Linked DNA regions of Xenopus tropicalis. The protein of the gene in region 1 interacts with the protein of each later gene in a biochemical or structural test. Links are inferred from orthologs where the notes say so. Each region holds a gene or a part of one and is shown on either strand. Other genes may lie near its edges.

Region 1 (4,709 bases):
TATAAATAACAGACATGCCAGAAAGAAACTGAGTCTTATTAAAGTCTGGAAAAAAACAGAAGCTGATATCTTAGCCAGAAGAGCAACCAGTAATAAGCCACCACATGTTCTGTGTAAGACAAGTGCATTGTACATTTCTATCTGTCGAAGGCATCTACCATTTTATTGTAGAATCAATGAAAGATTTGTCTTGGGTAAAGGTGCCCATACATTATAAGATTTGCTCATTTGGCGATATCCCAAAAAAGCAGATTTTTCCCCAGTATGCCCACGTAAAGTGGGTGCTATCAGGCTTAATTAAAACAACAGAGATAGGAGTGGTTGGAGTGAGGACCGCATCCATGAGCCAATGCGGTCCCTGATCTGTCTAAAAAAACCAAACTTGCCTGATCGACAGTCGATTTTTGGTCAGAGAACAGTTGGATAGAGCTGTTGGAGGTCCCCATACACAGGGGGATAAGCTGCTCATTGGTTAGCAGCACAGCAGTGAACTGCTGCCTTGCAGGACTGGCAGGGTGGATGGAATCGGAAGCAAATTTGGGTACCCGGAGTCGGAGGAACATAAACTGAGCTGTTAGAGTCAAAGGATTTATGTGTGGACTCCATAGCCCTGCCAGGGCTGTGGAGATAGATTTGTGGGTCCAGAGTTGTAGTCAAAAGCAATTTTAGGTACCAGGAGTCGGAGTCAAGGTACCATAAACTAAGGAGTCGGACTTGAAGGATTTATGTATCAACTCCACAGCCCTGAGGACTGAGGTACCAGGCCTGACTTCAGTATTGGGTAAAAGGAGATTAGAGTAGCCTGAGAATGGGAGGTAATGAGAAGTGAAAAGATCACCTGGACCAAAAAAATAAAAAATAAATAGCACCTGGGCCGCTTTTCTAACAAATGTAATGGTTTCCCAGGTTTAAAAAAAAGTTGGCTTCCAGTGGGGCAAAAGTAGGACAAAATACACCAGAGAGGGCTGAAGTGATGATGTGGGAGACTCCTCTTAATGGATTATGATGGGGGGAGCCTTTTATACAGCTAGGGGGGATGCTGGATCACAAGCAGTGCAGTCACCATGATTTCCAGCACTTGTGTGCACATGATCTTACTGTGCCACCCCTTGCAATTCCTGTTGTTACTTTTGCAAAGATATATTTAGGGCAGGGTCGCTATGAGTGTTTAAAAACCTTTCTGAAGGCTTTATTAAAGTGTCAGGTCTGTAGGCAGTTATCACGTTTCTGGTGAGATGGCAGAGAATGTCACTGAGGTATTACCCTTAGTTTTCAGTTTTGCTATCCCATTCTGCCTCACTATTACCAACATTTCACAGTACACAGCATTCTTGCTAATGGCCGTCCCACTGAGGTGACACAGCTCACCTTCATACTAGTGAGCGCCCTAGAACTAAGGCAGCCAGGTTTGCAGCACACGGGGAGAGAATGCAATGGCATTCCAGCAGGGGGCGCATTATTACCTCCGAGTCCGCACTGACATTAGCAGCAGCACCCACACGGAAGGGGAGAAATCACGCACGGTGCTGCACCTCTTTGCGCTGCAGGAAGAAGGTTTCCACGGCCCCATCCCGGTGCTGCTGTAACCTGCACACACTGCTGGGGGTGGGGCAGGCTGGTTAGGCGGGAGGAGGGATACGGTGCTGAGCCCCGCTGCGAGGAAGACTGCACAGCCTGGTGTCACCTACAGCCCCCTCACCTCAGAGATCAGCTGAAGGCTCTCCCCAGAGCTGCCCCCCACCTCTCCATCGCTGCTCATCGCTCTGCAGTCCTCGGACCCACGGGAGGCGCCTTTATGTGTAAACGGTGGGTGCTATAGCGGGTGTCCCTCCCCCTTCCTATGCCCTGTTTGTATATCATGCGTGCAGGGTCAGCATTGGCTTTTATTGCCCCGACGCTCCCATTCCATAAACACGGTGCCATGGAGCAGATTCCCCAGACTGGAATGTAATGGGCTCCTGCAGCCAGAGATCGCGCCTGGAGCTGCTCGCTTATTGCACACAGGACTGACAGGAAATCTATCTCTCTCTCTGTGTGTGTGTATATATATATATATATATATATATATATTGCAGTAGATGTAGGTTACACCGAGAACACTTCTTGATTAACGTGCGGCCTTCCAGCTGTTATTAACTATTACCCCCAGGAAACACTGATATCTTGGAAGTTGTAGTTCAGTAGCCGGGGGCCCACAGGCTAAACGAAAGCCAAGTAGATTTGGGCCACAGAATAGGAGAGACAACCATATATATATCAATGGGGGGCACTGGGTATAGTGCCATTGTAGTTGGGCCATTGGTGCCTGACGGAAGCCCTTTCTACTATTGCTGTTTTGCTCAGGTCGCTTCCGGTTTCATGTACTGTCAACTTACTATTTTTTTTTCAAGAAGGCAAAAAAAAAAAAAAACCAACAACTTCTGTATTCCCCGCCCCCCACCCAGGAAGCTGAGCTGTAGTAAAGTGAGGGAAGAAGATAGCAAAATAATGTGGTGTGTTTGTCACTTCCTTTCTCTGCTTTGAACACCTGTGGCTTGGCTGCCAGCATATCATGCAATGCACACAATTAAATCATTGCCTAATCCTCTCAGCCTCCATCATCATTTTTATTATCCTATGTAGTAGGGCAATTTACCTCAGGGCTGTACTTATTACAGGGAGGCCTCAGTCATGCTGCAGAGCTTCATATCATGCCATGACACAGATTTACACACCACTCTGCTGGATTCCATTTTCAGAGGGAAAATTTATGTTGGAATGTAAATGCCTTTCTGCTGGTTTCACGGAAATCACACAGACATTCATTTTCTGGGCAACTCTATAGAGATAAAATGGGATGTGCTGTTAGGCTGGCAAGAACTGTAGCACGTGTAGAAACCTCTGTATATAGCATGGTTTATATCCATTTCTTACACATTATTATTAACATAAACATGTAAGATGCCATTGTATTCCGCAGTGCTATAAAACAGAAGTTTTGAATGTGAAGGAGGCCAAACATACTTATATTTATTGGGGCAGTTTGTCCATTTTTAGCCACACTGCTTTATCATCAACCACACTGCCTGCAACATCTTTGCATTTCAGTCTTAAGCTCTTAATGTACCTGCTGATGCCACATGTGGGTGGGTGCTTGGGTATTGACAGGTAGGCAAGTTAGAGAAACCACAACACCCACTCATTTCCTCTCAAATCATTTTTACCAAGTCAGTCTCATGACAGATATTTGTCGGTTCATTAATCTAGCAGGGAAAACTTCATTTGCCATTTTACTATTTCCACCAGTGCATAGTGCTTCAGCAGATGAGAAAGCTGCGTCTCTTTTTCACTTCCTGCTTTTCTGTTTGTGCTCTCATTCCAAATGAAGATAACAATATAAAGGTGACTGCCATGGATGACCCTTTGTACAGTATCTGTTCATGTGGCCCAGTTGCCAATCAGTTCAATACTGCGCAGGATCATTTATGGCCACCTTAGGGTGAAGACATACAGAGCGACTAGTAGCAGCTACTTGTCACAGCTACTAAAATAAGCAATGCTGATCTTTTACTGATAATTGTCTCTACATGTGTTTTACAAGAGGCAGTTCTCATTTTTGTCTTTGGCAGGGTATTTTCTGGTGTTTAGTAGCCGTGAGAAGTATCCGTTCATGTGGCCCAGTTGCTAATCAGTTCAATACCGCACCGGATCATATATATATATATATATTTACTCTTATGGGTGAAGACACACAGAGCTACTAGTAGCAGCTACTTGTCACGGTTAATACAATAGGCAATGCTGATTTTTTACTGATAATTGCCTTTATGTATTTTTTACAAGAGGCAGGTCTCAGTATTGTCTATGGCAGGGTATTTTCTGGTGTTTAATAGCTGTGACAAGTGGTTGCTACTAAGTAGCTCCATGTGTCTTCACCCATAAGGGTAAGAACCCATGGAGTGGTTCAGAGGGGCTTTTCACAAGCAACTCCTATTGTTGCCTTTTCGGAGCGGTTTGTCACCCACAATAGCAGAGATCTATCGCTGACGACTGAGTCTAGGTACTTACCCTAAAGCTGGCAATACACAGGCTGATTGAAGCTGCTGACGTGGTCCCTCCAGATCGAGTTATCAGCTTATTGGCTTGTGTATGTAGGCATCACTGTATGATGCGTTTGTTTGCCCCAGGGGCAATGACCAGAGCCCAATTCGGCCCAGGGTATGGGTGAATAGAGATCCGCTTTTTGGGGACCTCACTGAATGGGGTGAATTTGCCAGTTTAACAAAAGATTTGATCTGATGAAAGTCAGCAGTGTAAAGAAAGTGTTAGAGTATATTTTGGTAACTGATATCTGTTTTTAACCTATGTAATCTAAGACTGTATGGATTATAAAATAATTAATAAGAAAATAAGTAGGATAAATGAGAACACTTCCTGCTGCCCTTAATATAGGTTTGCACTAACACATAAAGGCAATGTATTTATTTCATTTGTCGTGACTTTTGCCTCTGGCAACCAAATACCATATCTGACAAATAAGACTACTGTGAAAAAATAGATGGCACTAATTTGATGTTTTTTATTGCAATAGATGTGTTTTTATGATCAGCTATAAGTGGGCTGATTGGGGTACACTCACTGTTCAAAGCAACCAATTCGGTCAGGATTATCAGAGGCCAATTTGGTACATGCTTGGCCTTCTTGAGGGGATGGACAGGGAGACTTTAAGA
Region 2 (4,181 bases), on another chromosome or scaffold:
TAATCCATTGGAGCTTACATGCAGACCCCTGCCATTCATCTTTCCTTATATAATAATCAGTCAGGGACAGAGCAAGACACAACATTATGTTGGGAAGAAGGTTGACATGAAAAGCTACTCACAACTGTGGTAAACTTGGTTTTACAAAGGGGTCATTTTCAGCTCCATTTACAGCTTTGTTTTTCCGCTGCTTTGGTTCTGAGTTGGCGGAGGGAGTCTGGGAACTGTTTGATGATGGCGGCTTCCGCTTGGCCAGTTGTTTTCTTTGTCTTTCAATATCTTCTCTCTGCTGATTCACCCATTCCTGTTGCCTGTAAATAAACAGATACTTGAACAAAAGGAACAAAAGATACAAGGAAGAATATGCCATTAAAATCTAAATGTGCAGAAACCGGTTTCCAGGCAACACAATATAGGTGCTTACCACTGTATGGAGCCATTCTGATGTAGGCGTATGCAAGAGGTGCTAATGAATCACATATTTTCATGTAATTTTGCCATATCAAGAGTATTTTTTGAATAAACAGCTATATGAGGTTTAATCAACTGAAAATCAGGAAGGTTTCCCAAGGTAGTGACCAATGGTCAGTCTCTTATTTTACAACAACTGTGTATAGTTACTTATTATTTATATATATATTCTTGGTGCTTCTTAGGTCAAACGTTATACCCCTTTCAAGCCTCAATGTCTTATCTGATTTCAACAGACTTCCCGGGTGACCTGGGATGTTCCTAAGCCTAATGAGCCTCAGTCACCTGACTCATTTAAAAACCATAATTTCAGTGAACAAGGGTTGTGTTTAATCACATGCTGCACACTGCCATCTGAGGCAGGTTTATCACTTAGCCTTATGGAAGATTCAGCACTACGTGCGAAAACCATAGTAAAGAAAAACAAAAAAAATAAATAAAAATGCCACTTCAGCAGCTCTCATTCTCCAATTGGAAGCATGCTGTCAATGGCAGATACCAACCAAGGCCGCAGTGTTTCCGAGTTATACCCGCAGAATGGACCAGAACAGGCAAGAATATCTGCCATGGGTACTTAGTTTTCCATTCAAGTCAACTAAAAATCACTTTGTGAGAGGAGTAAGGTGCCCCTGTTCCACATATGACTTCCATTAGACTTAATGAGAGAAGGAAAGTCTATGATCAGGCACTTGGAGGTCCAGAATATGCCACGTGTTCCACAGATCTACAAACTCCCCTGATGATAAATTAAACTAAATTTGCACCCCTTTCACTTGTTACGTATTTTTTTTTTCTTTTTACAAAGATTGTCATAATCTTATCATATGATTGGTTAGTATTAAACATTAGGGGGAATGTATATGTATCTATGCATATAACTTTAGCAGTGCTATATTACACGATATTTTGCGCATGCTGTAACTCTAATACATTAAGCATTAGAATTCTGCACCTTTAAAATGAATTCCTTGTTTCCTGTGTTTTGTTAGGTCCCTGTATCTTTGCAGAAACATTTTGCATTCATTTACATGTTTTCACCTCTACAAATATCTGATAAATCTTCTGTTCTATTAATCCTGTTTCTCACACCTCCCCTTTATTCACTGGCTAAATGTAAGGTATTGTTTGATTTGACTATGCCACGTGTATAACTTCTGTGCTCTAAGCCCCAGCAAGGTCCTCCCAACGCTTATTTCCAGCACAGCCCCATGACATCATTTGGCTCCTATTCTTATTGCCTTCAATGACAAGAGAAATTTTAGAGATTCCATAACAAAAGACTAACTTGACAAGGTTTTGGAAAGCGAAGCCATCTGTCCACTGTTCAGTAAAAGAGGCTCCATGCCGAACTGTGGTGAAATGTCCTAGCCGTAACCTGTCCTGCATGCTCTTCTCTCTGCTTGCCAGCTTCTCCTGGGTGCTCTGTAAGAAATCAGGCAAAGTGGCTTATAGTTTAGCACATTTAGTTTGCTCTATCTTTAACACACTTTTCATCACATTAGACTTTTGTTGTTTTTTTTTCCTTCTGCTAAGGTGTCCTGTAATAAATAATTATATTTGGTGTGTTATTGCATTAAATATTTACTTAACATGGAACACAGGGCATTGGCCCCACTGAACTAAATGGTAATCTCCTGGATTCTGCAGGTGAACCTTTGGATCAAACCTTTAATGCTTGGAAACACTTATTTAGGTCAAAGAAGGAACATTGCTCCGTGTGCCATTAGAATCTAGCATAGCAAAACTGTTTCCTTCCCCAGAGATGCAGGCTAACACAACAATACTATTTTGGCCAGAAAATGCTCCTAGTGAGCACTATACTGCCCCACACTGGGAGGGAGCATCCGCATGTGGGTAGCCATGTTTGATCACACACATGCATAATAAGGACTCTCATTATGTGCATTATGTAAAATCTGGGGATTTCTCCCTTCATCCTAAATCGTGAGCGATTTGGGACATTTATTATTTTTCTCATACTTAGAGTCCCAACAAGACTGCCTGGACAAGGAGCTACCTGACAGAGCAGGCGACATAGTGTTCGCTAGGAGCATTTACTGGCTTCCTGGCCAAAAGGTTCCATTATTCCCCGCCCAGGGCTGGATTTAAAGCTGATGCACCATAGGAGATTCGCACCGCCCCCCACCCACCCACTCGAACACCCCTGCAGGTGGGAGATTCAAACAACTGTCAAAATGATTCACTCATTCACCCAATCCCCAATTGAGATGAGCCCAGCATGCAGTCCCTAATTTTTGTGCTGCCCTAGGCCTGGCCTTTATGGCCTGCCCAACGCCTCCAACAGGGGGAATAATTGTACTATTAGAGGTGCCCTTTGAACTAAAAGGGCTAAATATATTTTCATATGTTGTTTAGCTGGGTAATTATGGGCAGTGGAAGGAAACAGAAAGGGAAATAAGGGCACCCTTTCCTCTGTGAGTGCTACATAAAGCTCAGGGACTAATTAGGTAGAAAATGTGGATACACAGAAATGGGTTGATTTGTGCCAGAGCTCATTTTCAAATCTAAAAATCTTATGGCCTTTTCTGAGAAGGAAACCATTAGTTATCCTGCTGTAAACCAGTCCTGAACATTGCTAGGCAATGGAGTTTATTTATGGGAAAACAAAATTGCCATAATTCTGAAAAGAAATAAAAATGTTGATTACTCATTCTGACGTGACATTTACACTTTCCCCCTGTCAAATACATAGCAGTCCTGTCAGGCTTTATGTTTGGACATGTAACCATCTCTATAATAAGCAGATCAGAGCACAAAAGGTAGCAAAGTGTGGCCTTTGTTATTTCTAACCTGTCAATGTATCATACATTAGCCAACAAGAGAGTGTGGCCAAAGTGCCCACAGTTAGAGACCATGGCTATCTAACCAATCATCATCACCACATGTGACGGCCAAACTGCCACCTGACCACCATGGAAAGCAGAGGGACTTCAACTCCCAGAATCTATCACTTCTTGAAGTTCCATGTAGCTTAGAGGGAGCATTTGTGACTGGGCATAAAAATTTGACTGCAAAATTTCTGGCCTGGGGCAAGTCCAGACTTGGAATGTTGAAACATTCTGGGGCACAGCAGGAATTAGTGGCAAGCAAGCAGCAATTCCCCAGCACTTACCTTTTCTATCAGGAGTTTTTTGCTCATTGAAATGCACTTATTTAATCTCTCTTTATACTTTTCAAGAATTTTTTGCTGTTCGTCTATTTGTCGCCTAAGGTCACAGTTAGTCTGCAAAGAACAAAGACAAATACTATCAGTCCAAAAGCAAACATTCTACCCAGTTCTCTATAATTCTTACCCAGTTCTCTATAATTGTTATAAATAAAAAAAAAAAAAAAGAAGAAACAGGAAATATTGACAGTGTAAAAATTAAAGGCATATTAAAACTCCATTATATTTGAACCAACAAATTTATTTTTTTTTAGTTGTAATATTGGTGCGTAGGCGCCAACTCAGTGAATTGAGTTTTCAGAAGGAGCCAGCGCTACACATTAGAACTGCTTTCAGGTAACCTATTGGTTCTCCTACTCCCATGTAACTGTAGGAGTCCCAAGCCGGACCTGGGTTTCTTACTATTGAGCGCTATTCTGATCTGATCGGCTGCAGGGGGGGCAGCTCAGCAGTATAGTGTGAGTGAAGTTTATCAGAGCACAGGTCACATGGCTGTGGCACCCTGGGAAATGAAGAATATGGC
Region 3 (4,181 bases), on another chromosome or scaffold:
GTGTAGCCATGGGGGCAGCCATTCAAAAGAAGAAAAGGCACAGGTTATATAGCAGCTAACAGATAAACCCTGTAGAGTACAATGGTGTCTTATCGGTTATCTGCTGTGTAACCTGTGCCTTTTCTCCTTTTTTCCAGCTTGAATGGCTGCCCCCATGGCTACACAGCAGCGTATTTATATAAACTATAGTAGTGTTTCTGTAGCAATCACACCAGTTTACCATTGCAGGGCAACAGCACATTATATTTCAATTACTTTAGAACACTTTCTTTTTTTGGTGTTACTGTTCCTTTAAGGACTGTTAATCCTAAAATAAGATTCAAGCAAATACACTGAATCTCAGAATTTCTGATATTAACAATATTCCAGTATCTGTGTCTTTTTATATAAATACATATTTTTACATAATCATATGGTTTTTACAGACTTGTGTTTGTTTTTTTTGTTTTTTTAAAACCTTAGTTATTGCCACAAATACACTATAAATATAATATCTGTTAAAGTAAGTTTATCGGAGCAAAGACATTAACTAATTTAATTCATGCTGACTTTTGGGACATAAAAATTTTCTAGAAGACCCGTACAAATACAACAATATTTTAGTGGTGGCCCTGAGCTAAAATAGCTAGAATATTGTTTGGATAGTTAAAGTCCTATGTAACATGTCTGTGACACATGTGTAAAAACTTACTGTGCATAAAAGATAACAACTAGTGGAATAAATGAGACAGAAGAAAAGGACATAAGATTAATTGCTTTAATTAATGAAACACTAAGAACACATTACATTATCTGCCCGGAAGGCTAGGGATTGCCTGGGCAGTTTTGATTCCTGTAATGTAGATTAGCCACTTATCAGAGACACCCGCTGCAGCTAGTGCATCTTATTAAGCTAAAGCTCATTCACATAATGACAAACTGTAATGGACACAGGTACTTTACACAGTGCATGGTTTAATAATGGCAAACAGAACACTCAAAAATCTATAATAGGCTCTTAAACAAGAGCAAGTAAATGGGTGCCATTAAGGAGCAGCGACAAAACTATAAAAAGAGAGATATCTTTGTACCACACCAGGGCTCATCCGTACCTCGTCATCGTGTACAAGTTCTTTCTTCACTACTTTCATAGCATAGGTCTGGTCATTCTTTTTTAAGCGCACCAGAAGTACTTTGGCATAGCTTCCTCTTCCAATCACCCGTATAAGTTCAAAGTCTTGAAGTCCTAATCCTTGGGAGATTTTAATCCCATCCATTCCATCAATGACTGGTTTAAGGTCCTAAAACAATCAGAAAGAAATTGTAGCATGTTGGAAAGTGATAGGTGCTAGTGGAAAGTGTTTGCAGCTCTGCCATTTACTGTTTAGCTTCAGCCAAACAAGCTGGGCACATAAGGGCAGATAAATCTGACCAAATGCCTGTTTCTGCCTATGTGTTTGCAACAAAGGAATGATACTTCTAGTCAGGAAAGCAGTAAGACTAACTATATCACAAAGCAAACCCTTACAATAATTGCCCAAAGAGAATATATAGCTGCAATGCTAATCTTTATTTCAATACCAGGTCCCTTACTGGCCAATTTGACCAACCATGTTTGTAGGCTGAAGGGCTGGCTAACTTGCACAGAGCATTCCTTATATGTACATAGATATTTATACAAACACCAGAGGACTATCATGCACTGACTGTGGCATTTACAATCAACATTAATACAGCAGCTTCCTCTATTGTTTATAAGCAGACATTATCATAAGCAGTACTATAGAAACTTCTGTCAAAGGGCACAGTATGTCATGTCAACCAGATGCAGATGGAAGAAAAAACCCAGTTTAACCATTAAGCTATGTCCTAACACATTAAACTGTTTTTTGCTGAGTTATTTAGGCTTTTTTTCTCTAAGGGCAAACCTAGTCCTAGAAACTGCAGATAAGGAGGGACTAACAATAGCTGAGAAAAAAATTCCACAGCACCATGAACTTTCTGATTTTACAGCTATACAATAAAACAGATTCCTTTTTTAGGGCTAGGAACCTGGCAATACCATCTGCTTCTCCCCACTTGCATTTTATAGGGAAAAGGAGAGAAGTGGATGAGCTCTCTTGGGCCTTGGAGCACTGGGACACATCTGCTGTTTGGTATGAAATGATGTGTTATTCTTTGAGGATAATGTGCAAGTAATGTAAAATGTTTAGAATGGCCTGTTTGTGATTATATTCAGGACCTATAGCAGAGCCCCCAAAAGGATACACAGTTCTATCTTCTAACATTTATACAAATATTTTTGTGTGAAGAGATGGTAATTATTTTCAAGAAGCTTCCAATATACTATGAAGTACTACTTTAAGAAAGGGTTAAAAACAGTGACTGTCTGCTTGTGGAAATGTGTATTCTCTGAGAGCAAAATGGTCTTCTCTAACTTTCAGAAGTCCTTTCTCTCCTGCTACAGGAATTTATCATCCAAACACTATTTGTGCTTTAAAGGGGGAACAGAGCTCATTAATAAGGTATACAGACTTACAATGTCCCATAAATTCAGTCTATATAGATTTCTATACAGATTTCACTATCTTTGGACTCTCACCTCAGATCCATCCTTACGATTCTCATGTTTTCTTGGAGCAATAATGGAAACTAAGAGAGAAAAGAAAAAAGTGATTGCTTTTGGTTTTACTAGCACTTTCCTAGGACAATTCATTTTTCTTATTGATATCTGATTAATCACCCAAGTGTCTGAACAGATGCAAGCTGTAATGGGGTTCACATGTTTTTGTTCATATTTCAAAAAGGGCACAGTGCATTTGGTCGTGACACCAGTGCAGACCAAACAGTTATGTAAGTGCAAGCAAAACAAGTTCTCTGTGAGTTTCCAAATGATGCTGGAATGCTGCATAATTTAGCCCTAAATATCTGCACAAGACATAAGCATGTAGAAGGTGGGTACAGTCTCTGACACGGTATGTTTTGTTGCATGTTGAAGATTTTGTATGACATGCAATTAACCTACTTTCATCAATTTCTTCAGAGGGAGGATCAACTTCATCACTTTTGTCATCTACTTGCGGTTCCTGGAAAGGCATGACCAAATCCTGTTATAAACATACACAAGCTGGGGTTAAATTTCCAGACAATCTTGATATTCTCCTGCTCCCTAAATCTAGTGGTGTAAAGAGAGAAGTAATTGTTCATGTAGCAGTAAATTTCTATGACAGCCTGACCCATATCAACGAAAAGAGCAAAATATATCTTCCAATCTTTCAGAAGAAGAAGATATAACCAGAGCTGTGCGTGCCCTGCATCCTAAACACCTTTTTGTCCTTTAAGAGGACTCATCAAGATGCTTGGTACAAAGATTTCTGATAAAGCCTGTCTCAATTAATATGCGCTTTTAACCCCTCCCGGAACAGTGGGTAGGAAAGCTATTTCCTGAGGGAGGAAAAGTCAGCTGGATGATTACAACAGAATAGTCCCAAACTGGTATATTTGGTCAGTTATAGATATATGAGGTCTGTAATGTTATGCTCAAGATGAACGGGAAGGGGCAATTTATATAGTGTGTAAGCCAACATTACCAGTGATGTTGCCCATAGCAACCAATTAGCAATTAGATTTGAATGGTCATCTACAAGTTAGAAAACAAAAACAAAGATCTGATTGGTGACTATAGGCATCATCACCAGTGATGTTGACTTACACACTATAAAAATATGCCCCTAAATGTCCTTGCACATGCAGGAGTGTACAGCAGCAGGACTAATCGTAACTCGCCTATAATTTAGCCAGTAAATGAGACACTTGCTCTCGTGGACAGCAGTCAGACAATATGTATGGCATCCAAACAGGCTAATAATGAGTAAACTAGTAGCATATAGGTAGATATTCTAATATTGCTTCCAACACCACAGGCTGCAAGCCAGACTGCACAGTCTGAATCTTAAAGCAATACACCAGTGTCACTGAGAACATCATAAAACCCATATACTGTATTTATTATTTATACAATACCACAAGTGCATGAAGTGCTTACAAGGCCTAAACACAAACAAAGGTTAATATGAATTAACCAGCAAGAACAAATGCATACATGCTAGGAGATGCCATATGCAACTAAAATGAGATTCCTGCCCAGAAGAGCTTAAATTCTATGTTCATGAGTACTATGGTCGCAGACTGCCTCTATGTCC

What was found.
Region 2: the proteins of mbp (region 1) and tlk1 form a complex in vitro, tested with the Homo sapiens proteins (2 studies listed by BioGRID, with this or other methods). The link is inferred for Xenopus tropicalis from reciprocal best matches to the Homo sapiens genes MBP and TLK1.
Region 3: of the proteins of mbp (region 1) and prkcz, one has a biochemical effect on the other in vitro, tested with the Homo sapiens proteins (2 studies listed by BioGRID). The link is inferred for Xenopus tropicalis from reciprocal best matches to the Homo sapiens genes MBP and PRKCZ.

What each region holds. Positions count from the first base shown.
Region 1 is NC_030682.2:98,825,034-98,829,742, forward strand, and holds the start of mbp (myelin basic protein), read left to right. Parts: upstream 1-1,611; 5' UTR 1,612-1,806; intron 1,807-4,709. UniProt on the Homo sapiens protein: The classic group of MBP isoforms (isoform 4-isoform 14) are with PLP the most abundant protein components of the myelin membrane in the CNS. They have a role in both its formation and stabilization.
Region 2 is NC_030685.2:67,966,558-67,970,738, reverse strand, and holds part of tlk1 (serine/threonine-protein kinase tousled-like 1), read right to left. Parts: intron 3,716-4,181; coding exon 3,605-3,715; intron 1,894-3,604; coding exon 1,757-1,893; intron 312-1,756; coding exon 123-311; intron 1-122. UniProt on the Homo sapiens protein: Rapidly and transiently inhibited by phosphorylation following the generation of DNA double-stranded breaks during S-phase. This is cell cycle checkpoint and ATM-pathway dependent and appears to regulate processes involved in chromatin assembly.
Region 3 is NC_030683.2:91,420,721-91,424,901, forward strand, and holds part of prkcz (protein kinase C zeta type), read right to left. Parts: intron 3,087-4,181; coding exon of another isoform or gene 3,066-3,086; coding exon 3,005-3,065; intron 2,632-3,004; coding exon 2,582-2,631; intron 1,281-2,581; coding exon 1,092-1,280; intron 1-1,091. UniProt on the Homo sapiens protein: Calcium- and diacylglycerol-independent serine/threonine-protein kinase that functions in phosphatidylinositol 3-kinase (PI3K) pathway and mitogen-activated protein (MAP) kinase cascade, and is involved in NF-kappa-B activation, mitogenic signaling, cell proliferation, cell polarity, inflammatory response and maintenance of long-term potentiation (LTP).